Linked DNA regions of Macaca fascicularis. The protein of the gene in region 2 interacts with the protein of the main gene of each other region in a pairwise test. Links are inferred from orthologs where the notes say so. Each region holds a gene or a part of one and is shown on either strand. Other genes may lie near its edges.

Region 1 (7,960 bases), on a different chromosome or scaffold from region 2:
TGATCTGGAGGCTAGTTATGTGGGTGTGTTCCACTTGCAAAAAAATGCATCAAGCTTAAGATAAGTGTGCTTTTCCATAAGGATATCTTATTTTATCTCAATAGAAAATTTGGCTTTTGTGTCAACTCCGCCTCAAGTAAGTGGGAAACTACAAAAGCTGGGGACTTGGGCATCTTTTAATCAAACTATGTATCAATGTCATTTCAAAGGTTTTGTTATGTGTGATCTTCCTTGAATGAGAATGGCAACAAGTTTTTTTAATCACACAGATTTCCTATGTGTCTTTTTTCTGCAGTCCTGATACAGTCTATGAACCAACCAAACTTAGGGAAAAGTAAAACAGTTAAGTCCTGTATTTCCACCTTATTTACAATATAATGCCCCCTACAGAAAATAATAATCACAGAAACACAGAAAATGACTTCTCCAGAGATGAGAAATGTGCACGTGATGCCACTTTCTCAGTTATCTCCTTCCAGAAGTACATCTTCTATAATCTGGAAGAAGAGTAAATTAACACTCCAACTCCAAAGATCAATAATTATGATATGAGAGAGACAACAGTGGAAAGAATAAACGTCCTTGGGCTTAATGTACTAGGAGGAAAGAACAGTCAGAGAAAAAAAAAAAGACCGAGAACACTGAGCTCTCTTCTGAAATGGCAGAAAGACCACTTTCTCCTGCATAAATGAAGTCAGGGCTGATACAAAACATTTTCTGGCTATTATTTAACCTCCCCTACCCAGCCTATTTTAGCTCAGTAGGAATTTCACCCACTAGGTGGACCTTGGAGTTCATCCACCACCCCAATAAAGATTGCATTATTTGAAGCAATGATCACTTCTTCCAAGCAAACCAACAAACCCTAGGTATTCAACCTCTGATAACCTGCCTACTACTAAGGAACTTCAGTGGAATTAGGGGACTAAAGATGCTGTCCCCAAACTGGCCTAAGGTGACCCAAGGGGAGAAGTTAACAGCAGCAGTTAAATTGATCTACTCATACTCAAGGATTACTCAGTCTTATGGGCAAGAAAAGAAAGCAATTAACAAACTACCAATAAGGAAAGGTATTTTGAAAATAGTGGAAAAAATGCCCCCTACCCTTCCTCTCAAAAGTAACGTCAGAGCTAGTCTGGCTTCACAGACAACTAGTGAAAATATATGAAAACTGCAGTACGGTTATAGATTATCCTTACACTTTAGCTTGTTCTCAATTGGAAAAAAAAATGCACATAATGTAACACTCTCCTGTCTAAATTGCTTCAAACTTTCTCAAAACGACCTTCATCGTGGTGGATTCTTTTTCTGCAAACCTTTGCAGGTTGCACCTGCTTCACACAGAACCACTGGAAGCAAACTAGGAGGAGACAGAAGAAATAGGAAGGTTTAAACCAACACAAATCGATTTTGTACCAAAAAATTAAGAAGGTTTAGTCTAAAAAGGGAGGGCCAGTGAGAAACAAGACAGAGGGGGAAACAGACACGTCTGGCTAACTCCCAAGGTAGAAATCATGACTCATCAAAGCTTTCAGAAGGGACAGAACCAGACTTTGCATTTGTCTTGAGTTCATCTTCCAGCCAAGAAATGGTCTCTTAACTGGTAACAGAACTTTAAGGGTTTGTCCTGGGTCTGTAACAGCTGGCTGTGAGGTCTTGGGCAAAACCTTTAACGTCTCTGAGGCTCGGTTTCCTCATCAGTAGGTGACTCCAAGGTCCACCCTAGCTTTAATAGTCTATCCTTGAGATTCTCGGTCCCATACTAACGGGAACTGGTCCACTGGGGGGAGCTGCAGAACTTCCTTCTCACAAACTCCAGGGCCCCGGGGCCCCAACTCTCCAGAGATGCTGAAGTCCTCGAGGAAGGTGGTTCTGCCAGCCTCTCTGTGAAACGGGGCCGCGACTGCACGAGTCCTGTCTCTACGGACCCTGCTCCTTGAGATTCCGGAAGTAGCTCCCTACCCCTGCCCCGGGTTTAGATGCTCCAGAGATGAGGGCCAAGCTTATACCAGGGCAGACTAGCGGGGGGCTCAAGGAGGCACACAGAGCAGGGGGACGGAGACCTCAGTCCTTGAGACCGCTCCTGCCAAGAGGAGGGCAGGAGAAGTCGGGAGAGGTGCCGGGAGCCCGCCAGGCGGGGGAGAGGCGCGTGGGACAAGGCAGGAGGAGGGCAGCCCTTATCGGTTCCCTATCCCACTAGCTTCGCTGCCGGGGTCGGAAATCCAGGTTCCTTGGCGCGGAACTAGGGGCGGGTCCGGAGGCGGAGGCGACGGCGCCCGGCGGGGTGCGCGCGGCTGCGACCCCGTCACTCCCCCGCCGCCTCCGCCCCTAACCCTCGGCCCTGTGCGCGAGCGAGCGAGCGAACGCAGCAAAACAAAACAAACTAGTGCCGGCTTCCTGTTGTGCAACCCGCTCCTGAGTAAGTCGGGGGCCGAAAGGGCGCCGCGGCTGGGAAGTCCGGGCGGCCGGGACCCGCGCGCGCTGCCCGGCCCGGCCGGAGCCTGTAGCCCGGAGTAGCCATGGCCGGGCTCACAGCCCCCGCACGCCGGCCACCGGCCCCCGCCAAGCCAGTGTCCTAAGCCTGTGGTTTCCCTTCGCTTCTCGCCTCCCAAACACCTCCAACAAGTCGGAGGGCGCGAACGCGGAGCCAGAAACCCTTCCCCAAAGTTTCTCCCGCCAGGTACCTAATTGAATCATCCATAGGATGACAAATCAGCCAGGGCCAAGATTTCCAGACACTTGGGTGACTTCCTTGTCCCCGAGGTGACTTGTCAGCTCCAGTGAGTAACTTGGAACTGTCGCTCGGGGCAAGGTGTGTGTCTAGGAGAGAGCCGGCAGCTCACTCACGCTTTCCAGAGAGCGACCCGGGCCGACTTCAAAATACACACAGGGTCATTTATAGGGACTGGAGCCGTGCGCAGGACAAAGTCTCCGAGACTGAGACATTTTCCAAACAGTGCTGACATTTTGTCGGGCCCCATAAAATGTAAACGCGAGGTGACGAACCCGGCGGGGAGGGTTCGTGTCTGGCTGTGTCTGCGCACTGGCGGCGTGGGAGGTTATAGTTATAGACCCGGCGGCTGCGGGTCGCCGGGCCGGTACCGGCGAGGAGTGTAGGTACCCTCAACCCGACCACCTCTTGCAATCATAGGGACACCGGCTTGGATGAGACACAGGCGTGGACAACAGTCTTCGTGAATCTCCACAAACACGTGGAACTTGAAAATACAACTACTGCCCCGTGTGTGCGCGTGAGACCTCACGTCACCCCATCAATTCCCACTTCGCCAAAGTTTCCCTTCAGTGGGGGCTCTGGAGTGGCGTGCCCCACGCCCGTCCGTCCTGCAACTTGCCCTGATTGTGTACCCCTCTGCCCCCTCTACTTAAAATGAAAAAAACAAAAACTGTTCCTAATTAGCGAAACTTTAAAACCCTGTTGATCTGTCTTCTACATTGGGCGCTGTTAGGCCACTGACAGGAACACTGTTTGAACCCTAATTGTTGCTATCAGTCTCAGTAAGCGCAGGTCTCTCAGTGACCTATGACTCTGGGGATTGGGGTGCGCGTATCCTTAAACCCGCGCGAACGCCACCGGCTCAGCGTGGAAAACTATTTCTAATCCCTAGTTTGCGTCTCTGAGCTTTAACTCCCCCACACTCTCAAGCGCCCGGTTTCTCCCCGTCTCTCGCCTGCGAGCAAAGTTCCTATGGCATCCACTTACCAGGTAACCGGGATTTCCACAACAAAGCCCGATGTGCGGGTCCCTTCCGCCGGCCAGCCAGCGCGAGTGACAGCGGGCGGCCAGCCCTGGCGAGGAGTAACTTGGGGCTCCAGCCCTTCAGCGCGCTCCGCGGGCTTTGCCTCCTTCGGAAATGAAAACCCCCATCCAAGCCGGGGGACGGAGCGCGGAAACCCGGCCCAAGTGCCGTGTGTGCGCGCGCGTCTGCGAGGGCAGCGGCGGCAGGGGGAGGAGGAGGCAGAGGCGGGGCGGCTGGACCCTCGGCATCAGCTCATTCTCCCCTGCTACACACATACACACGCAAATAATGTTTCTAAAAAGTTGAGTTGCGACTTTGCGCCTCGCCTGTCCTGTTCATCCTTGTCCTGGGCCGGGGAATGCTTCTGGGGGCCGACCCCGGGATGCTGGCTAATTGCTGCAGGCGGCTTCCGTCGCCGGTGCGACCCTGGACGGCCGCGGACGGCTTACAAGGGGTCCCAGGAGGGGCAGTGGCCGCGGCACTCGGCGCCGGTGCCCGTGCGCGCCGCGCTCTGGGCTGCCCGGGCGGCGCAGTGTGGACGCGGCTGCAGGGAAAGGGGAAGGGGGAAGAGGGAGGGAGGAAGGCGGCCCGGCGAGGAGTGTGGATGTGTGTTCGGCCGCGAGGGCCGGCCTGCACCCAGCTGCTTCCTGAGTGTGAGCGCCGGAGGGGGAGGGGGAAGAGTGGGGGCGGGCTCGCTGGTCACTAGGCTGGCCAATTCGAAGGCTGAGCTTGTGTCTCCCTCTTGACGCATACACACACACACACACACACACACACACACACACACACACACACACTCTCACACTCCCAGTAAGCCAGAAGTCGAGGAATTCCAGAATTCCAGAACAGGGTAATAGCAGGGAGACACTTCGCCTTCTTCCAGGCCTTATTTGTTAAACTGACTTTTATTTTAACATGAAAAGATGTTAGTGTTTAGCCAGGATTTGATGTCAGGTCATAAAAAAATAAATAAACAACAACAAAAAAAAATCCGGTAGTAACACAGAGAGAATAACACAGTGAAAAATGGCAAAAGGGTTGATTTGAAATTTGGGATCGGATGCACATAACAACTTCGAAACTGGATAGGTAAAGCACTAAGGAAGCGTTTGGCATCTTTTCCAAGTATAGGCAGAGAAGAGAGGAAGGTGATGGAAGTGTTGGAAGGGTATAAAATTCCTAACACAGGCAGTTAGGAATGGAGGTATATTCCCTGCATATGTTACATCTACAAAGTGGCACTTTATGAATTCAACATCCTCAGCCTTAAACCCCACCTAAGCTCTGACCCACCATCCCTTCTGCTTGTGTTGATCAGAGCCCTCAAAAGGTTGTTACAAGAAAGTCTACTTTTAGTAGTTCATCACATGTATTGCCACAGATGCAAGGACTTCTATCTTGGGAATCTAGGTATGTAATGCACACAATAGTTGAGAGTATTTTTCACCCTCATGAATTAAATGAGTGAGGATGCCACCAGACACTTTTAGAATTTCACAAGTCCTTATATTCTATTCTATTGTTCCTACTCCAATATAAATTAGCAATCAGGTAGTAGATGCTTTGATCAAGATAGAAGTCCTCAAGGACACAAATGACTTACCCCAGAAAGCCAAAACTAAAAGACTGTTGGCAGTTTTCATTTATCTAATTTCAGTAGGAATATTACTAGGTTTGGTCTATATCCATGATATTAACATAACCAAAAGAAACCTGGTTTCCACAGTACTTTTTCTTTTCTTTTCCTTCTCCTCGGGACACAAACTCATCAGAATATTAATCACCAGAATATTTGTCAGCATTAGTAGGGGAAGAAAAATAATAAGAGTTTAGGATATGTCATTCTGTCAATTTTCCAGTTTCTCTCTGTTCATCTCTTTTAAATACAAGTATCCAGGCCCAAGATTGGCAATAGATGGGCTCAACCACACATAAGAAAAGAAAATACTCATAAAATGAAGCATGCAGCAACATCACAAAAACAAAGAAACCAAGTGGTGGAAATTGCCATGACTATTCCATTGTGGCTAGTTATTGCAACATGCCTGACATTCACATAAAAACTCTTCCTCATTAACTCCAGCCTTCAGGAACAGAGCAAGATGAGAACACTAACCCTTCAATGCATCATGGGAACTTCTGTTCATCAGATTCTTGTACTGTACAACAACTGCTCCCCAGGAACAAGACAAGCCTGGGTGGAGGCTGCAAAAAACCTTTCCAATGTCCCTTAAATATCATTTCAAATACGATGGTTTTGATGCATAGACTGGTATCCTAGGGGCTTGCAGAGCTTCTAAAACTTCCCAAATGATGGGAACAGCTTAGCTGGAAAAGAAAAAATATATAGTGCTACACCCAACTTTAATCAATGGCTCATGGAAAAAAACACTGGGAAAGTTATGAGTCATTGACCTGGAGATCCCCAAAATCTCTTCATTTATAAGAGCCCAAGAGTGGGAATGTCATTTTATTTAGGTGTGATTTTCATGAACATCTAACATTCCTAAAATATTTACCATTAAAGAGGTATAGTGCTTTGGTTGGATTTTTTTCTTTTCTTTTCCTTTCTTTTCTTTTCTTTTTTTTCTGGCCAAGAATGTAGATCTGCAATGTTCTTATATTCCATGGGTTATAGTAAAAATGCAGTTGTTGTTGTACCAATACAACCCTGGAGTGACTCAGAATGAGATCTGTACCTCTTCTGGGCTGAATTGGTCAGCAGGGGTGAGGGAGGGTGGTAATGAGAGACAGTGAGAAAGGAAATCATGTAGTTCGGAAATGATACTCTCCCCTACCCATGAGCTCTCCATTGTGCTTAGGAATCATACTCTGGCAGCCCTTCAGCCAGATAGGTGGGAACTGCAGCCCAGTCTGTATCTTCCCTCTCTAGAGACCTGTGTTGTATGTGCCTCAACCGCTGACTCAGAGCAGCTGACTCAGCAGACAGGCCCCTGCTGCCAGCTCCAGTCCAGTTCTCATTCATTTGAGAAATATTCAGTGAGTACATACTCTGTCCAAGTATTGGGACTAAAGGAATTAACACGTGTATGCATTCTACATGTGAGGATATTACGGAAAACTTTTTGCCCAGTGTCTCAGTTATAGCAAACCCTCAAGAAATGAGGACTCTCTCCATATATTACCTTGTCTAATCCTCAAAACAATTGTATGAGGTGGATATGGATAATCTCCTATTTAGAAGCCAAGAAGTTGAAGCTCAGTAAACAGTTAAAGAGAGTCAGAGACAGAGCCAGATATGCCAGTTTAGAAGCCCCAAGTTCAATCAACATTACTGTACCACAAAATAATTGTGCATGCCCTTTGAATGTGTATAAAACATATTGCAGGTGTATAAAGTGCAAAGCATCTTGTGATCAATGTTGGATGAGCACAGTGAAGTTTGTAGGGAGTGTGGAGGAGGCACGAATAATTTCCTGCAATATGACATGGTAGCCTGGCTGTTTGAGCTGGACTTCAAAGAATGAGCAGAGAACTGATAAGCAGAGGAGACCATTTCAAGTAGAAGAATCAGCATCAGAAGGGGCACAGAAGGCATAAGTCCTGCATAGCAAGCAGCTCACTCAAAGCTAGAGTACAAAATAGAAACATCCACAGTCTCATAGCAATGAAACCCTCCAGAAGGAACGTCCTAACAGCAAAACTTCAGAACTGTTATTTGAGTCACTTTGAGTGCTCTGACAGTAAACTACTTACAAACTTGCAAAGAACTATAATCAGATTCCTACTCCCATAAAGTGTCCATGAAAAGAAACAAGTTTGAACCCCAAAATGCAGAGAAATTGAGCTAATAGCACCAGTGATAGTATGCCTAGCTATTAAAACACAGACGCACACACACACACACACACACACACACACACACACACACACACACACAAAAGCTGGCAAGAGTCCAGTTACGTAGAAATGCAGCGGAAAAAGTTAGTGTTTGCCAACTTTAAGAGGGGGAACTAAATGTGTAAAATGGAAAATTTCCATTTTCCTTTCCTGTGTGAGTAGTACAAATAGTGGAATGCAGCAAATTTCACATTATGTTATCAGTGTGTGATATATTAAGAAAACTTAAGCTGATTTTTCTACTAATTTGTCACAAGTATGTTCAGCCCAGACTCTTTGGCTCACATACACATCAGTGATATAATTTTTATTAAAAAATTGTTATTTACACCTATCACATT
Region 2 (7,322 bases):
TCTAATTAATCTTCATGGACCTCATAGGCTGAGCAAAACAAAACACAATTTTCTCGAAAGGATGACTCCCTGACCAGGTTACAAGGTATTCAAGATGGGAATTAGAGGCAGCAAAGTCACCCCAATCAAAGGCCAAACAGACAGGTGCAGAGACACTCATAAGAGCACGGAGAAATCTATGTATATGTGTGTGTGTGTATGTTGGGGAGGTGTTGCAAATGAGAATGTTACAGCAGAGGAATTCGTGATACAGAATCTTAATTGTCCAGGAAATTAAGGCCAAAAAATTTTTTTTACAGGTCTTGAAAGTTGCTGGTGTGATTCTAGAAGACTGAGAATCTCAGCAGTGATGGTGAGTTCGCTTTTTAGAGGTGCCTCAACTACAAAGTGCTTCTCCCAGAGTCAGGAACTTTTCCCCTCTAACGTAAGGGTGCACACATGCATGTGCCCTGTCCCCCTCTGGGAGGGCACAACTCAGAGTGCTCCCTAAGGGTCCCCAGCCTCAGGTGGTAAGTCACTTGCTGAGGGAGGAGGTGGTCCTAGAATACTGATGCAGGTTCCCAGCATCTGAGCAACAGTTTAGAGAAATACAGGCCAGGTATGGCGGCTCATGCCTGTAGTCCTAGCATTTTGGGAGGCCAAGGTGGGAAGAGGATCACTTGAGGCCAGGAGCTCAAGGCTGCAGTGAGCTATGATCTTGCCACCACATTCCAGCCTGTGTGACAGAAGGAGATCCTGTGTCAAAAAAAAAAAAAAAAAAAAAAAAAGACAGAAAGACAAGAAAACCTCTACACACAATTCACCTGACCGCACTGTGCACTGTAGAGAGACCAGACTCCGTAGTTCACGCTGACCAGGTGACCTCAGAGAGGATGCCCAGGAACTTTTCCCTCCTCAAATCCCTACAGATGTTGGCAGGCCCAGTCTTTAAGCCAGGCTGTCCTCATGCGGCACAAAGGAGCTGCTTCCCATCCTTCCCAAACTCACCCGAGCAGGCAGTGGGAAGGGAGGCGCCAGCAAGCTGAAGGAGGCTTTTCTCAACTGATCATCTTGGGAAAAGCCAGATACAAATTTCATGGCTGGAATGCAAGGGTTGTGAAATGCTGAAGAAGCCCTGAAGAGGGCCAAGGACTCTCCTTCTGGGAAGGCAGTGGGAGGAGGGCTGGCAACGAAGAGTAGGAGAGGAGCAGGTTACCCAGGGGGCCTGCCTTTCTGGAAAGGAAGAAATAGACCCTCGAAATGGAAAGAAATCCCCTTGCCCTGAGGTGGTAGAGGGGCCAGAGATAGGGTTGTTTTAGTTTCTGTACATGAAGAAAATAAGGCCTTGTGTCACAAAATAATTTTGGTATAAATGAGCCAATTATGACATAGCTTGTTATTTCTGGGATTTGGAATCACCGAGGCTCATGGCATCTCCTAGGAGTTATTTAACTCCCCTACAGTTTAGTTAAATAAGCCCAATAGGCTTCTAACATGAGGCTTTGGCTTTGTCCTTGGTGCCATGTGAGAGGTCCCGATTCATGCTGCAACTAGTTAGATGAATTCTACCAGTAAGGGTCATTATTTTCTCGGAAACACAGTCTGATGTGTCCCCCATGGGGTCCCTGAGAATAGGGTAAGGAAGATTACATCCATTTTAATGGCTGATAGATGGCTGTAAGTAAGCGCAACCTCTTTCTAACCTTGGACAAGATACTTATTAGCCTCTCTGTACCTCATCCATTAAAGGGGGATATGTAAGATTATCGACCACAGGATGGCTATGAGGATGAGATAAATGAATGGCAGCAGATAGTAACTGGCACATTACCTAGCACAGAATAAGCACTAATAATGTTTTAGCTGCTGCTGAAGTGTGAAAAGAGCAAGTGCTTGATGCCCCCAAGTAGGCCGGCACCCAGCTGCTAATGCCCAGGCTTGATCAGCTGCTCTGAGCCTCTGATCTAGCTCTGTATCTTCCTCAGACCACAGACAAAACCAGGAAGACCCATGCATAAGAGTTTCCTGGCCCAGAAGTCCTGACTAAGGGGAAATCAGACCAGCAGACAAAATATGGCCCACGCTGGCTGCCCCCGCACAGGGAGTGGAGCAAACAGTGGTGCCAGCACATTTTGGGTCAGCTTTCTCAGTTGCAATCCATGTGGTGTATCTGAAATGGGGTCAGGTCCCAGAGTGGGCAGCACAGATATTAACATCACGCTCACTGAACTGAACTGAGTCCATCATGATCGATCCTGAGATAACAGGAAGCTTGAGTCTGACAGGCTTAAGGGGTGTGTTGGAGAATGTTCTTGGCAAAGGAGGAGGAGAAACCATTTCTCAACCAATTGCTAACAAATGGGTAACCAGCACTGACAGCCTCAGAGGAAACATTCTAATCCCGTCAGACTGCAGATCCTGGTGCTTCAGAGACCTGACTGGGCACTAAACCTTCAGGAAGGGGAGACAAACCCGGCACCTCAAATCTTTTCCCACCCATCTCTCTGTATCTCAGCTAACTCAAGCCAAAGGGTAGAAGCCACAATCTCTCTGCCTTATGTCTACAGAGACCCCCTGGACCAGAACCAATACCCTACTGCCCAGTTAGGGTGTGGGCTGAGTCTGGGCTTATGTGTATATCTAGGAGGCCAGAGCCTTGTGCCCCCTTGCAATGTCCAGGGGTGCAGTAGCTGGAAGTGCTCCCAAGCCAGAGAGTGAGATCTCAGGCCTGTTCCAGATACACAAGAGGGGCAAGAAGGTTGTATCTCTGCAGGAGCTTGTGCCCTTCTGCCTAGAAACCCCAGGCTTCCAGAGGCAGAGAGCCATCTGGACTGAGACTATCTCCATGTTATAGGCCTTCCAGTACCTTTGGCCTCCCAACAGTGCCAAGGAGGCCCAAAGCGAGAAGCCAAGCTCAGGGAATGGGAAGGAGTGTAGACCTGGGACAGGGTCCAGACTCACAGGTAGAGAGCTTCCATATGTCGTATGACCTTGGTGTGGCCATCTGCTGCTGCCAGGGGATGATCAGGATGCCTCGAGCCAGCTACTTCAGGGCAGCTGGCTGGAGAAACCCACAGGCCGGAGTTAAAAGCTGCTCTGAGGTGGCGGTAGAGGCTTCTCCAGGCTTTTGCCAAAGAGCTCAACTCTCAGCACAGCCCTGTTCCCAGAGTAACTCTAGTCCAGTCAGGTCTCAGGAGGCAGCCTGAACTTTAACCAGCCAGGCCTCCCCTGTGCTATATCCTCTTGAGTTCCTTCCTCTGCTTATTAAAATTCTAAGGCGTCCTGAAGGTCAATGCCATGTTCTTCCTCCTCCAAGATGCCCTCCCTAACTACCCCAGATCCTGTGGACCTGTCTTTTTTGTAGTGCACTAAAGTGTTACTATTTCTGGGAACCATGATCAGCAACTAGAGCTAGAATCCAGAGAAGCAGCCATTTCCAACAAATCACATCGACAGCCAGACACACACTATTAAAAGGTAATTGTTTCACTCATGTTCTCCCAAAGGAAGAGCCTGTGCACCCAAGATGGCCCCCTGGGCCCAAGCTTGTCAGACAGCAAATGTGTAATAAAGACTTCGTAGAAGAAGGCTAGATCACCCTGGTCTTGCAGGATGATTGACCTCCCTTTCAGCCCAAGGCACAGCAATTTCCTCCCTGGCAGGCAAGGTTCCTGCTTTGGGCTGCCAGCCCCCTAGTATCTCCTGCCAGCAGCTATTCCCTAGAGCTGCCCTGGGACTAAGGGCAGAGGAGGGTGCCCAGTTCCAGCCCTGCCCATCACTCATCCCCTCTATCAGAGGAAGAGAGGTTGGCAGGAAGCGGATCTGACCTCTGGGGTGGCCACAGTCTCTCCCGAGGGCTACAGGGGCCCCTGGACAGGCAGCAGAGGCCTGCAAAAGACTTCCTTTCCCTTCCCTGGGCCCCAGGGAAGAGAGGCAGGAAGAAGGGCCTCAGCCGCAGGCATCCAGCATGGGGCTGGCCAGAGAGGGAGGCCCCCCGGGTTGCAGCTATCAGCCGGAGACCAGGCTCCAGGAAGGAAGGAAGGGCAACTCTGGCCGAGACCGAGATAAGGAGGGAACCGTGCTCAGCACAATGGGCTCCCACAAGGCTGGGAGGCCCCAAGTCAGATTTCGCCCCAACCTGGCCTCCTGTCTGTTCACACGGCTCATGTAAATATTTACTGATGTTTATATTCACGGTCTGCTGGGTCCCCTCTGAGGCCCTCTCCTATGACCCACAGATAGATCTGTGTGCCCCAGACCATGCCTGCCCTTAAGCCTAGAGATCCTGGGCCCATCCAGCAAGGGCTATGTGCATTGTTCTCTCTCATGCAATCCACAGGAACAGGCCCTTCAGGACAAAATCATCCTCTTGTTCCAGTCCATGGACACTGGGGAACTTACGGGGCCCGGTCGTGGGCGAGGCCATTCTGCCGCTGAGGGTTGATTGGCGGAAGGACAGGTTTGCTGTTGATCTCGAGTCCTCTCCTCAAGGTCTCCCGGATCTGCTCTGTGTCTGCAACGACACCACTAAGTTGCCCGGTGGCCCAGTGGGCTCCCAGCAACTCTCACCCTGCTCTTAAAACTTGGCTCAGCAGAGGTGCTAAGAAAAACTACCACATTGGCCAGTCCTGAGCCCACTCTAGGCATCCAGACGTGAGTGCTGAGTGAGTACAGATTGCGAGGGGACAACTGTGCTCTTAAGAAGCTCTAGGTTCGGCCGGGCGTGGTGGCTCACGCCTGTAATCCCAGCACTTTGGGAGGCCGAGGCGGGCGGATCACAAGGTCAGGAGATCGAGACCATGGTGAAACCCCGTCTCTACTAAAAATAGAAAAAATTAGCCGGGCGCAGGGGCGGGCGCCTGTAGTCCCAGCTACTCGGGAGGCTGAGGCAGGAGAATGGCGTGAACCCGGGAGGCGGAGCTTGCAGTGAGCCGAGATTGCGCCACTGCACTCCAGCCTGGGCGACAGAGCGAGACTCCGTCTCAAAAAAAAAAAAAAAAAGAAGCTCTAGGTTGGAAGAGTGCCATTCTTGTAGAATCCAGGGGCAGCCTCTAGAGTTCAGAAAAGCGCTCTCCACCATCGTTTTCCTTCCTGTGTCACAGGCCCGAGGTTTACCCTTAACGTGGCTCTGCACAGTGACTGATTACTGGGGATTCTGCCCACTGAAATGGATGTGAGTGAAGGCTGCAAGTGCCCTGCCATGAATGGGCAGGTGCCTCTCACACACCTTTCTGGGTTCTGGGTGGTCAACTAGCATCTGGTCTTGCCACCCCTTCCCCTTGCATTCAAGTCAGTGAGACGAGATCATCCCTCCACCTTGGTCTATCCCAGGAAACTCTGCCTCTCCATGGAGGGGCAAGGGCCAGGAAGTGAAAGAGTTCCCCTGGTGGGATTATTTCTTTGTAAGGTGCTTTGCTGGTCTTTGGGCTGAAGCTTACTAGTCTGGTTCCCTGTACTGAGATTTGGATCCAAATTTATCTCTGCAAACTGTAAACAGATACAAAAAAGCAAATTAAAGTTAGTTGCTCAAAGAGTGGTCTTAGAGTGGAAAGGAGATGATTACTAACTTTTCTAACGATCTGATTTGTTACAGTAGGATGGATTAATTTATAATTTTTAAAAATAGCCAATAATGACTGAAATTTTAGACAAGACTATGACTCCCTCTTTAAATCAACCTCATTTGGTTGTCAAAAGCAACCAAATGATTCCAATAACTGTATACCCTGTCTTTGAGCCTCCAACAGACTTGGCATGCCATTAAAACAAACAGGAAGGAAAGAAAGGGCTCGGCTGGGTGAGGTGGCTCACATCTGTAATCCCAGCACTTTGGGAGGCTGAGGCGGGTGGATTGTTTTGAGCTCAGGAGTTTAAGACCAGCATGGGCAACATGGCGAAGCCCTGACTACAAAAAATACAAAAGTTAGCTGTGCGTTGGTGGCTCATGCCTGTAGTCCCAGCTACTTGGGATGCTGAGGCTGGAGAATCACTTCAGCCTGGGAAGTGAAGGTTGCAGTGAGCCAAGATCAAGCCACTGTACTCCAGCCTGGGCAACAGAGACCCCTGTTTCAAAGAAAAAAAAAAAGGGCTCAAATATTTGCACTAGGGGTTTAAGTTTGTCCTTTACAGAATGAACAAAAACCTTTTATAAGTGTTATCATATATGTAAGGATTTTATTCAGGGCTGTAGACATCTTATTCTTCAAAAAAAGAAAAGATGGAAGAATGAAGAAAGGAAGTAGACAAAGAAGCTGTCAACACATGTATATGTAAGTGGCTGCTTTTCCTTTGCAGTTAGTTGGGGACGCCCTCTACTAAAAACCACAACTGTTTCTGTAGCCAAGATCAGCATAGGGAGATTCCAAAAGGACAGCCACATCCTCCTTCCCAAATACCCCATCCGGAATGCAGTGGGTCCAGAGGCCCTGCCCACAGCCCTAACCCTGTATCTGTATGACAGGAGGTGGGCAATTTGCAAGCCGGCCTCACACTCAGGCCTCTCTTGTTGAAGGCCTGGGAGGGCCCAAGGCCAGAGTGATCCTTGGATCTGGCATGGCCTTCAGGCCAGAGCTGGGCCCTGTGTCAATTCCGTGGGTGGCCGACACTTTTCTCTTGCACTTGGGTGGACTATGGACTTTTCCTGTAACTGTTCTAAGGCTTCCACTCACCTCCATGACCTCAGATTGCAAGGGACAAATCTAAAACACAATGGTGCCTGCTGGTGATGCATTTGAAATACACACAGGAAACACAACTAGAAATGGGCCAATAAAGCTCCCTTAATTCCACCCTGCTGGAAGACTTCACTTGCTGTTTAAATCATGCCAGGAAATAAACTATTGAATGGGTTGTTTTTGTTAGAGACCCATCCTAGAGAGCCTGGAAACCAGGCCCTGGGGAAAAGGAAGGAGGAAGGCTGGGGGAAGGCTGGGTGTTGGCTCCCACCTTTGCCAGAGAGTCGCCGGGGCTGTGTGCCGATGCAGATGCTCCGGCTGTCCTCGTCATCCTCAGGAGGCCGGCTCAGGTCGTCCCAGGCACACTTGGCACTGACACCACTCAGGTTGGAGCCATCTGTCTCGATGCCTTTGTCAACTCTCTCCTGCTTGAAAAGAACCAAAGAGCCAGAGTTCTTTCAGAGAACTGGTGGCCCAAGGTGACCACTCTTCCAGCCACCACTCTTACAGTATTTACTGAGCCCTTGTGGTACTGAGCATGGGACAAATGCTGGAAGAGCAGGATCTCTGACCTTGTTCTGCCCTGGTTACCAATGCATGATGGTCTCTACCAGCTCTTGGACTCCTCCAGGGGAACCAGGGATTAGGGGAAGCCGGGAGGAATGCAGA
Region 3 (8,067 bases), on a different chromosome or scaffold from region 2:
CTGAGGCTGTGATGGGGTAGCTTACAGGGACTGAGATGGCTTGACTGAGAGGAAGGGAAGGGCATTGTAATTGGAGGGAACAATATGGGCAGAGGGTAGAGGTTTGAGGAGTGTGGTGAGTTCAGAAAAACCACAGAAGATCCATTTGGGGCAGAAAATGCAGAAAAACAAACCTACAGGTGGAGATGTCCGGGCTGAGGAGTGGGACTGTCTCCTGGGGGCCCAGGAAGGGGAGGGAGGGGCAGAGTCAGTGCTGGGTGTGAAGACTCCCCTGGAGCCCTGTGGAAGACAGGCTGGAGGGGGAGGCTGGGGCCAGGGACGGAGAGGAGAGGGGGGAGGGAATGAGGGCTGTGTGTGTGTGTGTGTGTGTGGAGGGGTGGGCCACTGGGGCTGGGGCTTGGGACAGAAAGGAGGGATCTGAGAGTCGGGGGCAGAGTAACTGGCTTTGGGGTTCTCAGGATGATGTCACGGAGGTTAGGGTTCAGGATGACAAAGCATGGAAAGTAGGTGTCCTTGGCCGTGGATCTGAAGTTCCCTAGTCATACTGTCACATTGTCATAGAGGTGGCGGGTCCCAGAATAAACTCCCTGAAGGGAGCCTGGGTAGCTCAGTTGGTAGAGCATTGGACTTTTAATCTGAGGGCCCAGGGTTCAAGTCCCTCTTTGGGCGTGTTCAGTGGCTTTTAACACCTAATTCCGACTTCATGTTTGAAAAAAAGATCGTTTTTAGTATGCAGCTAAATACCAGAAAAATAAGCAAACGAAAAACAAAAAAGAGAAGCCAGAGGTGAGAAAGTGAAGATCTCAGTGATGGGCTCCTAAAAGTGGGTAGAGCCTGGTTAGGGGCCAGGGACTCCGGGTAAACGGGTTCAGGTTCTCAGAATGAGGCGGTCCAGAAGGTGAGGGTAACGTTGTATGGGGAGCAGGGTCGGGGGCTCGCCGCGTACCGGGCGCGTAGTGGCCATAGGTGGCGTTGCGCAGCTCCTCCCAACCCACACGCCCGTCGCGGTCCGTGTCGTACGTGTCCCAGGCCGCGCTCACCGAGTCCCGTATGTGCCGCTGCTGGGTGTGCGCGATCCACGCGCGAAGCTCGGCCAGCGATACCCAGCCGTCGCCGTCCCCCGCGCGGTCCATGCGGTCCACGATCCGCCTACGAGCCGGGGCGGGCACAAGTCAGTCTCTGGTCCCGCCCCAGGCCCCGCCCCTCGCACGGGGCCACGCCCCCTGGGACACATCGGATCCGCGGGTGAACTGGGGAGGGACGCGTGTCAATTTCGGGACCAAACCCAGCGGAGGACCCTCAGCCTAGGGTCCACCCCCGGGACAAGTCACGCCCTTCCTGAAAACGAGCGGGCCTGCTGGGAGCCCTGCGTGGGAGAGACCTACGACGATGCAGGGCCACCCTCTCCGCGCCGGCCCCGCCCTCGGCCCGCACGTGCTGCACCTCTAGCTGGGCTGAGCTGTGGTGGTGATGGGGAGCGCGGCGTCGCACTGCGCCCCTTGCCAGGGGGGCCCTGTTCCAAGACTGACTTTGAACCCAGACAGCCACGGCCACACCCCCGAGCCCCGGCTGTCTCAGGCCCCAACCCGCCCCATACCCCGCCCCCTTACCAGGCTGCGCGTGTCAATTTCAGGCTCCTATCCCTCCAGCCCTGCCCTGTGCTGCGCCTGGTGGCTTTCTCCTGCCTGTTCCCGGCTGAATCAGGCACTGCCCGAGGACCATCACCCGCAACCCCAGGGGCTCGGTCTCTCTATACCCCTCCCCATGCTCCTCGGGGCTCCTGTGCCCCTCCCCGTCACATGTCAAGCCACTTAGGTTCCATCTCGCCCCTTCTCTCGGGCCACGCTTGTCAGCTCCCCGGCCCTTCTCCTCTCCATGTCAGGCCGGTCCTCGCCCAATCTCTAATTAACAGAGGAGCCCTCCTCCCTGTCACCGTCCCTAGGCCCCCGCGGCCCCCTCCCTAAGGTCGAAAATCTGAGACAGAAAAAAAAAAAAAAAAAAAAAGAAAGAAAATCTGAGACAGCAGAGCCCTCTCCAGGCCTGCCTGAGTCACCGCCCCACCTCCCGCACCAGGTGGTCTCCGCTCCGGTCTGTCAAGGGCCGACTCTGTCCCCAGATTCACACCCTTCTCTGAAGTTACTGCTGTTGTTAAGAGCTTGGGCCCCACAGCCAGACATTTTAGGTCCAAATCCAGCCACTTCCTCTTACTGGCTGGGTGACTGTGGGCAAGTGACTTAACCTCTCTTGTGCCTCGGTTACCCCTCTGTAAAATAGAGAGAAAAAATGGTACCTACCCCAAAAGGGCAGCTCTGGGGAATAAATGAGTTTGGCCATGGAAAGCACTTAGGACAGGACAGGCGTGGTGACTCACACCTGTAATCCCAGGCTTGGCAAGCCAAGACGGGCGGATCGCTTGAGATCAGGCCTTCCAGACCAGCCTGGCCCACACAGTGAAACCTCATCTCTATTAAAAACACAAAAATTAGCCGGGCGTGGTGGCCCGAACCTGAAATCCCAGCTACTCCAAGGCTGACACGGGAGAACTGCTTGAATACAGGAGGTGGAGGTTGCAGTGAGCCCAGATAGTATCACTGCACTCCAGCCTGGGCAACAGAGTGAGACTCCGTCTCAAATAATGATGATAATAATAATATAATAGGCCGGGCACGGTGGCTCACGCCTGTAATTTCAGCACTTTGGGAGGCCGAGGTGGGCAGATCACCTGAGGTCAGGAGTTCAAGACCAGCCTAGCCAACATGGTGAAACCTCATATCTACTAAAAATACAAAAATTAACTGTGCGCAGTGGTAGGTGCCTGTAATCTCCACTACTTGGGAGGCTGAGGCAGGAGAATCGCTTGAACCCAGGAGGTGTAGGTTGCAGTGGGCTGAGATCGTGCCACTGCACTCCGTCCTGGGCAACAAAGTAAGACCTTGTCTCGGCCGGGCGCGGTGGCTCAAGCCTGTAATCCCAGCACTTTGGGAGGCCGAGGCGGGTGGATCACGAGGTCAGGAGATCGAGACTATCCTGGCTAACATGGTGAAATCCCGTCTCTACTAAAAATACAAAAAACTAGCCGGGCGTGGTGGCGGGCGCCTGTAGTCTCAGCTACTTGGGAGGCTGAGGCGGGAGAATGGCGTGAACCCGGGAGGCGGAGCTTGCAGTGAGCCGAGATGACGCCACTGCACTCCAGCCCGGGAGACACAGCGAGACTCCGTCTCAAAAAAAAAAAAAAAAAAAAAAAAAAAAAAAAGTAAGACCCTGTCTCAAAATAAATAAATAAATAAAAGGGCCAAAGGTCCTCTTCATGCCTCAATTTTAACTTAATTTGCTTTTCCCAAGGAGAGAAGGTAGAATTTCATTTCTCACAAAGAACTGAAGTTCAGTCCACGCCATTTCTCTAACCCCTGTCAATACCCCCGCAACTCTCTCCCAAACCCCACCTCCGAACACGCCCCAACCGCGTGTCTCTCCTACCCCAGACGGGCCTGGCTTTCCTCCGGGGTGAGTTGGTCGAATTCCTTGGCCACTTCCCGTCCCAGGAAAGCCTCATGGTCGTACTGGAAGTTCCCGTGAGAGTCATCATGGGGGGCGTCGCTCAGGGGGGCCGCCTGGTGCACCCTCCCCTGGCCATGAGGGCCTGCGTCTGGAGACGGTTTCCCCTGGGCCCCGTGCCTCAGTAGCAACAGAAGCAGCAGAAGCGATGCTCGCCACATCATCGGTCCCTGGGGAGTGGCAAAGGCCAGGGGTCAGGGGTTACAGGTATGAGGACAGACATGGGACAGGAGAATGGCGGGGTGGAGGGGTTACCTAGGGCAGGACAGGGAGATGGAAGTTGGCTACAAACTTTGGGGCTCAAAAAGGGCGGGCGATGGGGGAAAAGAGGGCGTGATGCTTAGAGGTAAAGCCACCTATTGGGGGGACCGACTCTTCTGACGGAGTCTCAGGGGGTCCCAGACCTGCGAGGGGGAATTTCAGGGAGAGACGTGGCGCACATCCCACGCAAAGTACAGGGCATAGTTGTGGCCAGCCAGAGGTCAGGGAGGCTCCCCGTCATTGCTCCCAGTCCGGACCCTGATCCTCGACCCGAGCCGCCCCGAGCCGCCCTGCCTGGACTGAGGCACCCCCACCCACTCCCTTTACCCAGTCATCCAGCTTCGTTCCGCTCTCCACGCTGGGCTCTGCGTTCCCGCAAAAGTGCCCAATTCGGCCGCTCTCCAGTCAGGCCCCGCCTCTGGCGGAGCAGAGCCCCGCCCCCCGCCCAATGAGCTCGCACGAGCGACTCACGGGGCGGGGCCAACGAGTGCCGGGAAGGCCGCAGGCGCCCCTCGCCACGTCCACAAAGGAAACCGCTGCCTGCCCGGGGAAGGCGGGTGGGCGACGCCGCAGTGACGCGGCCGGGGAGAACTACAACTCCTGTCAGTCGTCGCGGCACTCTGCCGTCCACCTCCAGCTGTTCTAGCCCCAACGCCTCACGGGAAATGTATTTTTCCCTCTTTCCCTTTGTCAGGCGGGTTTAAGAAAGAGGTGTACGTCCCAACAGTCCTATACCAAAAAAAAAAAAAAAGAAAAAAAAAAAAGAAAAAAGAAAAGAAAAGAAAGAAAAGAAAAGAAGGCCGGGCGCAGTGGCTCATGCTCACGCCTGTAATCGCAGCACTTTGGGAGACCGAGGCGGGCGGATCACCTGAGGTCGGGAGTTCGAGACCAGCCTGACCAAAATGGAGAAACCCCGTCTCTACTAAACATACAAAATTAGCTGGGTGTGGTGGTGCATGCCTGTAATCCCAACTACTTTGGGAGGCTGAGGCAGGAGAATCGCTTGAACCCGGGAGGCGGAGGTTGCGGTCAGCCGAGATCGCGCCATTGCATTCCAGCCTGGGCAACAAGAGCGAAACTCCATCTCAAAAAAAAAAAAGAAAAAAAAAAAGAAAAAAAAAAAGAAAAAAAAAAAAAGGACGAGCCGAATCGAGGGGCTGGAGGAAATACCCCATTTCCTCCAAGAGTGAACAGTGCTCCTCTTCTGCTCCAGTGATTCAGATGGTCAGACAGTGGCCAAGAATTCCTCAAAATGCCTGGCACGGCAGTTATCCAGTAAACATTTGTAAAAGTTATGAATTAAAAATACATGAGCACAGTAGCTCAACGCCTGTAATCCCAGAGTACAGTAGCTCAACGCCTGTAATCCCAGAACTTTGGGAGGCTGAGGCAGGTGGATCACCTAAGGTCAAGAGTTCCAGACCAGCCTGACCAACATGGTGAAACTCCCGTCTCTACTAAACATACAAAATTAGCCAGGTGTGGTGGCGCATGGCTGTAATCCCAGCTACTGGGGAGGCTGAGGCAGGAGAATCGCTTGAACCTGGGAAGCGGAGGTTGTGGTGAACCGAGATCAAGCCACTGTACTCCAGCCTGGCAGCCTGGCTGCCAGAACAGGCTGGGCGCAGTGGCTCACACCTGTAATCCCAGCACTTTGGGAGGCAGAGGCGGGTGGATCACCAGGTCAGAAGATCGAGACTATCCTGGCTAACATGGTGAAACCCCATCTCTACTAAAAATACAAAAAATTTTCCAGGTGTGGTGGCAGGCACCTGTAGTCCCAGCTACTTGGGAGGCTGAGGCAGAATGGTGTGAACCCAAGAGGTGGAGCTTGCAGTGAGCCAAGATCACGCCACTGCACTTCAGCCTGGGCAAACAGAGCAAGACTCCGTCAAAAAAAAAAAAAAGAAAGAAAGAAAAAGAAAATACATGACCTGATGTATAAAACTGGCAGGTTCCCCCGTGGCAGCATGTTACCTGTAGGAGAGATCTGAGCCTCAGCGGCCATTCAGTCCCCTGATTTATTCCCTTACCTCCCCTGCCTGAAAAATGATGAGAACACACTGATTCGGGCCCAAACTCGTGTTATATTATCGAGGTGGAAAAGAGCCATATGTATTAGGAGGGGAAACTGAGGCAGACCACAGGACGGGGCTCCAGAGGGAGGACAACAGGGCCCAGGACCCCTTCTGGAGGCTCAGAGATGCCAGTGTTCCAGGAGGTCTCACAGCATGAAAGGGGCCTGACTACATTCGCTTTTAGCAGTCGGAATGGCAGATGGTCAGGCAGTGGCTGGGATCACATTTATATCCTTCGAATCAGCATCCTGGGCCTCCCCCGGGGTGGGCAGGAGGGACCCGGTGTCATCTCCACGGAGGGAGATCCAAGGGGCTGTGGAGAGAGAGGGGGAGGTCATCAGAATCTCTGAGGTACTCTGGGTCTGACTGGCATCCCCCATTTCTGTGTGTGTCTCACACACACTCCCTCAGTCTCTAACCCCTTCCTTCTGGGCCTGTCTCCCCTTCTCCCAATTTTCCATCCCCCCTCTTTCTACATCTTTGCCTCCCTCCTCGGGGTCTCTGTCTCCCCCTTCCTCTGTCCCCTCTCTGTGCCTCTGTTCCCCCGTCTCTGGGTTTCTGTCTCCACTTCTCTCTGGTCTCTGTCCTCCTCTCTTTGGGTCTGTCCCCACACCAGGTCTCTCCTCCCAGGTCTGTGTGCCCCTCTCTTGGGGTCTCTGTCCCTCTCTCCAAGGCTCTTCCTCCCGCTGCCCACACCTGGCAGCCCACTCCTCATCCTTCTCCACAACAGAGCTCCTCCTACAGCCGCTGCCGTGAGTAGCAAGACACCGATGACGATTCCCACCACGAGCACCGAGGACTTGGCTGGAGTTTCTGCAGCCAGAGAACGCTGTGAGATGTGGAGCAGCCCGTCCACCCCCACCCAGTCAGGACACAGCACTGGGGGGTCCCAGTCCCTCCCAGCCTTGGAGATCCCAGCACCAAGTGTCTGATGGACAGAGGCAAGGCCAGGCGGGCGATCTCGGCAGGGTGCCCCCAGGCTGGATGTAAGAACCAGCCACAGCACGAGCGGCCGCCGTGGTCACACTGGCAATGGACCAGCAGCGGCAGGGTGGGGCTGTCCCGGCGCAGCGGGGAGAGGCAGGCAGAGCAGTGGGAAGTCAGCCTCATGGGCCCCGGCAGTAGCAAGGCAGCAAGTGGTCAGTCTTGGTGAGGACGGGCATAGCAGACAACGAATGGTCAGATTCCAGGAAGACCTGCAGCCGCAGCAGCAGCAGGATGGAAGACGGTCAGACTCAGGGAGGACTGGCCATGGTGGTTAACAGCTCTTCAGACTCAGTGAGGCCAGAAGCAGCAGGACGGAAGGCAGTCGGCCTTGGGAAGGACAAGGCATCAGGCTTTGGGGGCACTGAAAGGCGCGAGGCACAAGGCAGTCAGATTCAAGGAGATGGCAGCAGCGGGGAGGAAGGTCAGACTCAGGAAGGACCGGCGCAGCAGTGAGACAAGGCAACGGGAAACCAGGAGCATCAGCACCGGGCGGGGCCTCACCCAGCTCCACCCTGAGGGGCTGCGCCAGCCCCGCGTGCTGCACGATGCAGCAGTAGTGGTGCTCATCGCCACTTTTGACTGTTAGTGACGACGAGGCGTGGAAGGAGCCGTCACTGTTGGGGCCGAAGTCGCCCTGTCCGGTGCCAGCGGCCATCCCATTCCGCAGGAACCGCAGTTGCAGTTCCGGAGGGTAGAAGGAGAAGGCGCTGCAGGTAAGCACGGAAAAGCCAGGGTTGCCGGGTCGGGCCTTCAGGCGCATGGAGGGGGGCTCTGCAGGAAACCAGGCAGACAGGTCTAAGCCCCGAGCCCACCACTCCCAGGGCCAGGGCTGGGTAATGACAGAAAGAGGCCTCCATGTTTGCAATGTGCTAACCCCGGATAATGTGGTGGTAAAAGAGGAGGCGCTTCCCAGGTGACAGAGACTGAACCTATCCACCCTGAAGGTGTCCCCTCAAGATGTCACCTCCCTGGGCTGGGAATGGTGGCTCACGCCTGTAATCCCAACACTTTGGGAGGCCAAAGTGGGTGGATCACCTGGGGTCAGGAGTTTGAGACCAGACTGGCCAACGTGGTGAAACCCCATCTCTACTAAAAATACAAAAATTAGCTGGGCACCTGTAGTCCCAGCTACTCAGGAGGCTGAGGCAGGAGAATCGCTTGAACCTGGAAGGCAGAGGTTGCAGTG
Region 4 (7,322 bases), on a different chromosome or scaffold from region 2:
GCTCTTAAGAACAAATATTTTACCAGAGCCTAGCCTATTGGGATTTTACCATGACCTACCTATCCTAGGGCAAAAATAAACAACAATTATAACCAAATACAGTCCCCTTTAGCCATTCTGTCCCACCTAAGGTAGAGGAAAAACTGATAAACACTTGTAAAGTTCACAGGCCATGGCAAAGGTTCACTAAAAGACTGAGATCTCATCATAGGACTATAGGATGCTTTACCTTCCTCCTAACCTTAACACTACATCACCAAATGCCTAGTTCTTTCAGTTCTTTTAACCCAGTACATCATGTTTAACTTTTAATAAAAAATGACAAGGCATACCAAAAGGCAAAAAACAAACAAAAACAAAACAACAAAAGAATTTGAAGAGACAGAGCAAGCATCAGAACTACATTCATACATGACAGGGATGTTAGAATTGTCAGACCAGGAATTGGAAAGAACTATGATTAACATGCTAAGGGCACTAATGGAAAAAGTAGACAACATGCAAGAACAGAATGGTAATGTAAACAGAGGCATGAACATTCTAAGAAAGGATCAAAAACAAATGCTAGAGACCAAAAACAGTAACTGAAGTGAAGAATGCTTTTGATGGTCTCATTAGCAGACTGGACATGACTGTGGAAAGAATTTCTGAACTTAATGATATATCAATAGAAACTTCCAAAACTGGAGAGCATAAAACAAAAATACTGATTAAAAATGGAACATAATATACAAAAATGTGGGATAAATATAACAGATGCAACATATGTCCAATGGGAATACCACCAGAAAGAGAAAAAAAAGGAAAATAGAACAGAAGAAATATTCAAAACCATAATAACTGAGAATTTTCCCTAAATTAATGTAATATATCAAACCACAGATCCACAATGCTTGGAGTATGCCAAGCAGGATAAATGCAAAACAAACAATAAAAAACGACACCTAGGCATATCATACTCAACTGCAAAAATCAATGATAAAGAAAAAGAATTCAAAGAAGCCAGAGGGGAAAAACAAATACCTTAATTACAGAGGAGCAGCAGTAAGAATTAAATCTGACTTTTCCTCAGAAACCATGCAAGCAAGAAGGCAGTAGAATGAAATATTTAAAGTGTTGAGAGGAAAAAACAAACAATACCAACCCACAATTCTGTACTCAGTGAAATTATCCTTCAAATGTGAAGGACAAATAGACTTTTTCAGACAAAAATTGAAGGGATGTGTTGCCAGTAGAACTGCCTTGCAGGAAATGTTGAAAAGTCCTTCAGATACAAGGGAAATCATATAGGTCAGAAATGCAGAGCTACATAAAGAAAGGAAGAGTATTAGAGAAAGAATATTGAAGGTAAAAGTACATTGAACAGTACAAAAGGAATAAAATGCCAAATTTGTGGGATGCAGATAAAGTAGTGTTGACAGCAAAATGTATCATAATGAGTACATTAGAAAACAGGAAACTCTCAAATAAATAATCTAAACTCCCACCTTAAGAAACTAGACAAAAGCTGGACATGGTGGCTGGAGAGCACTTGCAGTTCTAGCTACTCAGGAGGCTGAGATGGGAGAATTGCTTGAGCCCAGGAGTTCAAGCCTACAGTGAACTATGATCACATTACTGTGACAGAGTGAGATCCTATCTCTAAAAAAAGAAGATAGTGAAAAAAATGGAAACTAGAAAAAGACGACAAAATAAACACAAAGCAAACAGAAGGAAGGAAATAACTAAGGTATGAACAAAAATGAATGAAACAGAAAAAAAAAAGAAAACATTTACTTTAGCTTCTGCAAAATTAAACACTTAGGTATAAATTTAGGCACAAGGTCTGCATGAAGAAAACTACAAAACTCTGATAAAAGAAATCAAACATCTAAATAAATGGAGAGATATTCCATGGACATGGATAGAACAACTCAATTATATCAAGGTTTCAGTTCTTTTCCAACTTGATCTATAGATTCAATGCAATCCCAATCAAAACCCCAGAAGTTACTTTTCTTCTGTGGATTGTGGTTTTTATTACCATTTCTAAGAATTCTTCACTAATCCTGAAGCCCCAAAGATTCTCCTCTATGCCCTCTTGTAAAAGTTTTAAAGTTTTATTTTTTATATTTAAATCTATGAAGCATTTTGAGTTCATTTTTGTATAAGGTGTGAGATTTAGGACAGGGTCTGTTTTTGTTTTCCTATGAATATCCAGTCGCTCCAGCATTGTTTCTTGAAAAAAATACCCTTCCCCTATTAAATTCTTTTTGTACCTTTGTCAAAAGTCAGCTAAGCTGGTCATACTAGTGTAAGACTATTTCTGGGTTCTCTATTCTGTTTCAGTGATCTGTGGCTAGCCCTCTGCTAATAGCACACACTGTTGATTACTGTAAGTATATAATGTCTTGAAATTAGGTAGATATATTCTTTCCACTTTATTCTTTTTTATTCAATACTGTTTTAGCCATACTCACTCATTTTATTTTCACATGAATTTTAGAATTGTCTCATATGTATCTACAAAAATCTTGCTGGAATTTGATAAAAATTATGTTAAACTATGTATAATGTAATGTGATCATAGTTCACTGCAGCCTTGAACTCCTGGGTTCCAGCAATCCTCCCACCTCAGCTTCCCGAATATATGCAACTACAGGTGCTCACCAGTCACCAGGCCCACGTTAAACTGTGTTTAACAATTAGATGTTTGCCAAGTTTACCAATCTTTTCAGTGAACCCATTGTTTATTATTTTAAATTAATATCCTTTATTTTTTTGAGCAGTGTTAAGTTTGTGCTGCAAAAGACTAAACAGGACAGAAATTCAAGCTACAGACTGGGAGCAAATATTTGCAAACCACATATATGACATATAACTCATATTTAGTATATATAAAGAACTTCTCAAAACTCAACACTGAAAACAAACAAGCACTTCAATTAGAAAATTAAGAGACATTTCACTGAAAAGGATGGCAAATATATGGATGACAAATAAGCACATGGAAATATGGTCAACATTAAGAACTTGTTGAGCTGTTGCTACATACACCTATGAGAACAGCTAAAAGTTTTTAGAAAATACTGACAATACTAAATGATAGCAAGAATGCTAAGAAACTAGATCTCTCATATATTGCTGATAAGAATGTAAAATGGAACAGTTTCTCTGGAAAACAATTTGACAGTTTCTTATAAAACTTAACATATAGCCATATGATCCATAATTTGCATCCTTGTGCCTATATCCTAGAAAAATAAAAACAATGTCTACATAAAACCTGCAAGTTACTGTTCACAATGGCTTTATATATAATAAGCAAAAAATTTGAAGCAATGCAAGCATCCTTCAACAGGTAAATGGTTAAACAAACATGGGTAAACATATATCATGGAATACTGCTTAGCAATAAAAATGAATGGGCTCAATACACACAACTTGAATGAATCTCCAGGGAATTGTGCTGAATTGAAAAAGTTGATTTCAAAAGGTCACATGCTGCATGATTCCATTTATATAATATTCTTGAAAAACCACAGTTATGGAGACAGAAAACAGATTAGGGATAGTGGGAAGGAGAGGAAGAGGAATGGTGTGATAAAGGGACATAGAACTATACACACATATTGTACAGTATCAATTTCCTTTTTATGATATTTTGCTATAGTTATGTAAGATGGAAGTTGGAGAAGACGGAGTGAAGAATAAACAAGACTTATCTTTGAAACTTCCCATGACTCTAAAATTATTTCATTACAAAATGTCTTCAAAATTGGTTGTAAATTTAGTAAAATGAAATTTCAGAGTGCTTGAAATGCCAAGGTAATAATATGGAGCCAAACAAAATTAACAGAGGGCACATTTTTGCATAGGAAGAACAAGATTAGAAATAGGATATGAATTAGAGTTATAGCTGTTTGAAAAAGAACCAGTTTATTTTTCTTTTGAAAGATTTGGTGAATCGTTTTCTTGAGAAACAAAACAAAAACAGAAAAAAGTCATCCTCATTAGACTACATGTTGCTTAAAAATATGAATATTTATATAAATACCTTCTTTCTGCTAATAAATATTTTAAAGTAAAAGTCATAACTATTAACATTTTGAGGTGATTGACATGCTGACCATCATGAGTCTATCATTATAAAATCTGTACATGTATTGAAACCTCACACTGTCACACTGTACCCCATAACCATGTACAATTATTATGTGTCAATTATAAATAAAATAAATAAGTTATAAAAATATAAAACATAATTATTTTTATTTTAGCATATTGACATAAACGTTTTTATCTTTCTATGTACCCATTTATTCCTTTAAATCCTATTTTATGCAGCATTCATTCATTATTTTACTGGCCAGAACTGCTAAGTTCTCTATGCTTACAAAAATTCCTCCTATATTTCTCTTATAAAGACTTGGATTGGGAATCGAAGAAGGAAATATCGTTTAATGGGGATTGAAGTTCCACCTCCAAGAGGAGGCCCTGCTGATTTCTCTGAGCAGCCTGAGTCTGGTTCTTTATCTGCACTCACACCAGGAGAGGAAGCTGGGCCTGAAGTAGGAGAGGATAATGACAGAAATGATGAAGTATCCATCTGTTTGTCTGAAGGAAGCTCTCAAGGTACTTTATATGCTGAATCTTCTAATAATAGCCTTTGTAAATTTGATGCATTTTTTACTTGCTTTTCAGCTTACTGCACTTCAAGTCTAGAGTCTTCAAAACATTTGGCCAAGTATTTGAAAAGAATAGATTTATTTTTAATACCTCCACCTAAACAATCTCCCACATCGTCATCACAAGGAACATTCATCTACAACAATAATAATCTCTTACATTTATAAATGTTATTACAATTCATACATTACAATTAAGTAAATGATTTTTATTTTATTGGAATTCTAGTCAGTTTAGGTCAGAGCATTATAAACACACTATAATGAAAGAGTATGGCATAATATAACAAATACCAGGCTAGTAGTCAGGAAATCTGGATGCAACTCCTAGCTTTTCATGCGATTTTTCATGAGACTTTCATGCAAAGTATTTAATTGGGCTTTAGTTTCCTCATCTGCTAAAGATAATTAGTCTGGATTATCTTTATGATACCTCTCAATGTTTCTCTAAAAGAGAATTCAAATAATATCATGTAATGGCACTATCTGTTCATGAGAAGTATGTTTCATTTGTCCTCAAGCATAGATATGATTCTCTTCTGACATATTTTTATTAACACTTTTATTGAGATTTAATTTACACATCATAAAATTCATCCATTGTAAGGCCATGTGAGGTGACTAATGCCTCTAATCCCAGAACTTTGGAAGACTGTTATGGAATGATTGCTTGAACTCAGGAGTTCGAAATCAGCCAGGGCAACATTATGAGACCTCATCTCTACAAAAAGTGGTTTTTGGTTTGTTCGTTTGTTTGTTTTTGTTTTTGTTGTTGTTGTTTTAATTAGCTACAGTCCCAGCTACTCAGGAGTCTAAGGTGAGAGGATCACTTGAGCCCTGGAGTTTGAGGCTGCAGGGAGCTCAAGTGATTGTGCCACTGTACTCCAACCTGGATGACAGAGTGACACCCTGTCTCAAAATATAATCATTCATTTTAAATATAGAATTCAATGATTTTTAGTAAATTTTATTCAATTCTACAACCATCATCATCACTGAAATCTGAATTTATATCACTTTCATCACTCCAATAATTCCCTTTAGCCCCTTTGCAGTCACTCCCTCTCCCCACTCTAAACTTTAGGAAGTCACTGATCTGCTTTATGATGATATAAATTTGTCTTTTCTGGGCATTTTCTATAAATTGAATCATACAATATATAGGATTTTGTATCCGTGATTGAGAAACAAAAAGGATCATGACGTTTCTCATTTTGCTTTTGGTTTCATTGAGCTCTGTTTAGAATACTTACAATATATTTTCCAGTTTATTTTTTGCCTTTTAATTTTGCTTATGATGTTTTCCGATGTCAGATTTTCTTTTGTAATTTTTAAGTTTTCAAATCTACCAATACTTTCCTTTATGGTTTCTGACTTTGGGTCATAATTACAGTCTTTCCTTGTACTACAATCATGTAAATATACCCCTACATTTGTCTCTAGTATCCTTATAGTTTAATTTGTACAACTTGATATTTATTTCACCTAGAATTAATTTTGCTTTAAGATGTGTGAATACATCCAATTTTATTTTTCCAAATGGTTAACTAATAGTCCCTACACCATCTGTTGAATAACTCATCTTTTACCAGTGAGTTGGAATGTAGCTTTTTATTAAATACACACACACACACTCTCTCACACACACACATATACACACACATGCAGGCATACACATATACACATGTGGGTCAAATGTGAGACTTCTTATTGTTACACTGATCTGATGGTTTACAACTCTGGCTTTATAAAATGTCTTAATATCCGGTAGGGCAATCATTCTTCTTTGCTTTGTAGTAGATTGATTATTGAATTGTTTAGTCATACAATTTGAACTGTTTAAGCGTGCCTTTTCCAAATCTCCTTCCCCAAAATTCATTCGAGATTTTTCTTGGCATTGTATTAAACTTAGAGAATACTGTAGGAAGATGAATTCAGCTTTGCATGTATTGAATTTTATATAGTGTTTGGACATCCATGTAGAGCTGTCCAAGCAGGTCTTTGGATAATATGAGTGTGAAACTCAGATGAGGGCTTAAGACATAAGAAGAAATATGGAAGTCACCCACATTGAGGCAAAAAATATCTAACCATGAAAATTGAAGATTTAGTTAAGTGAAAAAATGAAAAACAAGAAAGGACAATGAACAAAGACTGTGTATTGATAAATGTCCAGATTTGGGCGTTGGAGGAGAAAAGGGAGCCACTGAAAGAACATCCAGAAACAGAAGAAGCAGGACAGTATGCTTTTCCTAAAACCAAGGAAAGAGTCAGGTGCAGTGGCATGCCTGTAGTCTCAGCTACTTGGAAAGCTGAGGCGAAAAAGATCCCTTGAGGTTGGGAGTTTGACACTTCCGTGTGTTCTGATTGCACCTGTGAATAGCCACTATACTCCAGCCTGGGCAACATAGTGACTTCTGTCTCTCAAATTAAGAAAAATAAATAAATAAAGAGATTTCAGAAGGAAGAGGTGTCATTATTTCAGTAGTTAAGTGAAAAAATGAAAAAAGTCTCATGGTCTCATAGAAGTTAGGTAGAAAAAGGGATGAGAAAGCCATTGAATTTGGTGCTTTAGAAATTCTTTTAAAAAAGCAATTAACTGCATGGGAAGAGGAGAGGCAAACAGATTGCAGTAGGTTGAGTAATGAAAGGGAA

Evidence for each region.
Region 1: the proteins of SUFU (region 2) and GLIS3 interact in binary tests that used the Homo sapiens proteins (3 or more experiments, as listed by UniProt). The link is inferred for Macaca fascicularis from reciprocal best matches to the Homo sapiens genes SUFU and GLIS3.
Region 3: the proteins of SUFU (region 2) and RCN3 interact in binary tests that used the Homo sapiens proteins (3 or more experiments, as listed by UniProt). The two-hybrid records come from large-scale screens. The link is inferred for Macaca fascicularis from reciprocal best matches to the Homo sapiens genes SUFU and RCN3.
Region 4: the proteins of SUFU (region 2) and HDX interact in binary tests that used the Homo sapiens proteins (3 or more experiments, as listed by UniProt). The link is inferred for Macaca fascicularis from reciprocal best matches to the Homo sapiens genes SUFU and HDX.

What each region holds. Positions count from the first base shown.
Region 1 is NC_088389.1:94,803,173-94,811,132, reverse strand, and holds the start of GLIS3 (zinc finger protein GLIS3), read right to left. Parts: upstream 4,386-7,960; 5' UTR 3,722-4,385; intron 1-3,721. UniProt on the Homo sapiens protein: Acts both as a repressor and an activator of transcription. Binds to the consensus sequence 5'-GACCACCCAC-3'.
Region 2 is NC_088383.1:111,609,657-111,616,978, reverse strand, and holds part of SUFU (suppressor of fused homolog), read right to left. Parts: intron 7,082-7,322; coding exon 6,925-7,081; intron 4,493-6,924; coding exon 4,381-4,492; intron 1-4,380. UniProt on the Homo sapiens protein: Negative regulator in the hedgehog/smoothened signaling pathway. Down-regulates GLI1-mediated transactivation of target genes. Down-regulates GLI2-mediated transactivation of target genes. Part of a corepressor complex that acts on DNA-bound GLI1.
Region 3 is NC_088393.1:57,488,577-57,496,643, reverse strand, and holds the start of RCN3 (reticulocalbin-3), read right to left. Parts: upstream 4,200-8,067; 5' UTR 4,144-4,199; intron 3,726-4,143; 5' UTR 3,720-3,725; coding exon 3,478-3,719; intron 1,150-3,477; coding exon 947-1,149; intron 670-946; exon of another isoform or gene 597-669; intron 1-596. Other genes in the region: FCGRT (IgG receptor FcRn large subunit p51), read right to left, coding at 6,098-6,207, 6,591-6,707, 7,383-7,652. UniProt on the Homo sapiens protein: Probable molecular chaperone assisting protein biosynthesis and transport in the endoplasmic reticulum.
Region 4 is NC_088395.1:90,994,752-91,002,073, reverse strand, and holds part of HDX (highly divergent homeobox), read left to right. Parts: intron 1-4,406; coding exon 4,407-4,614; intron 4,615-7,322.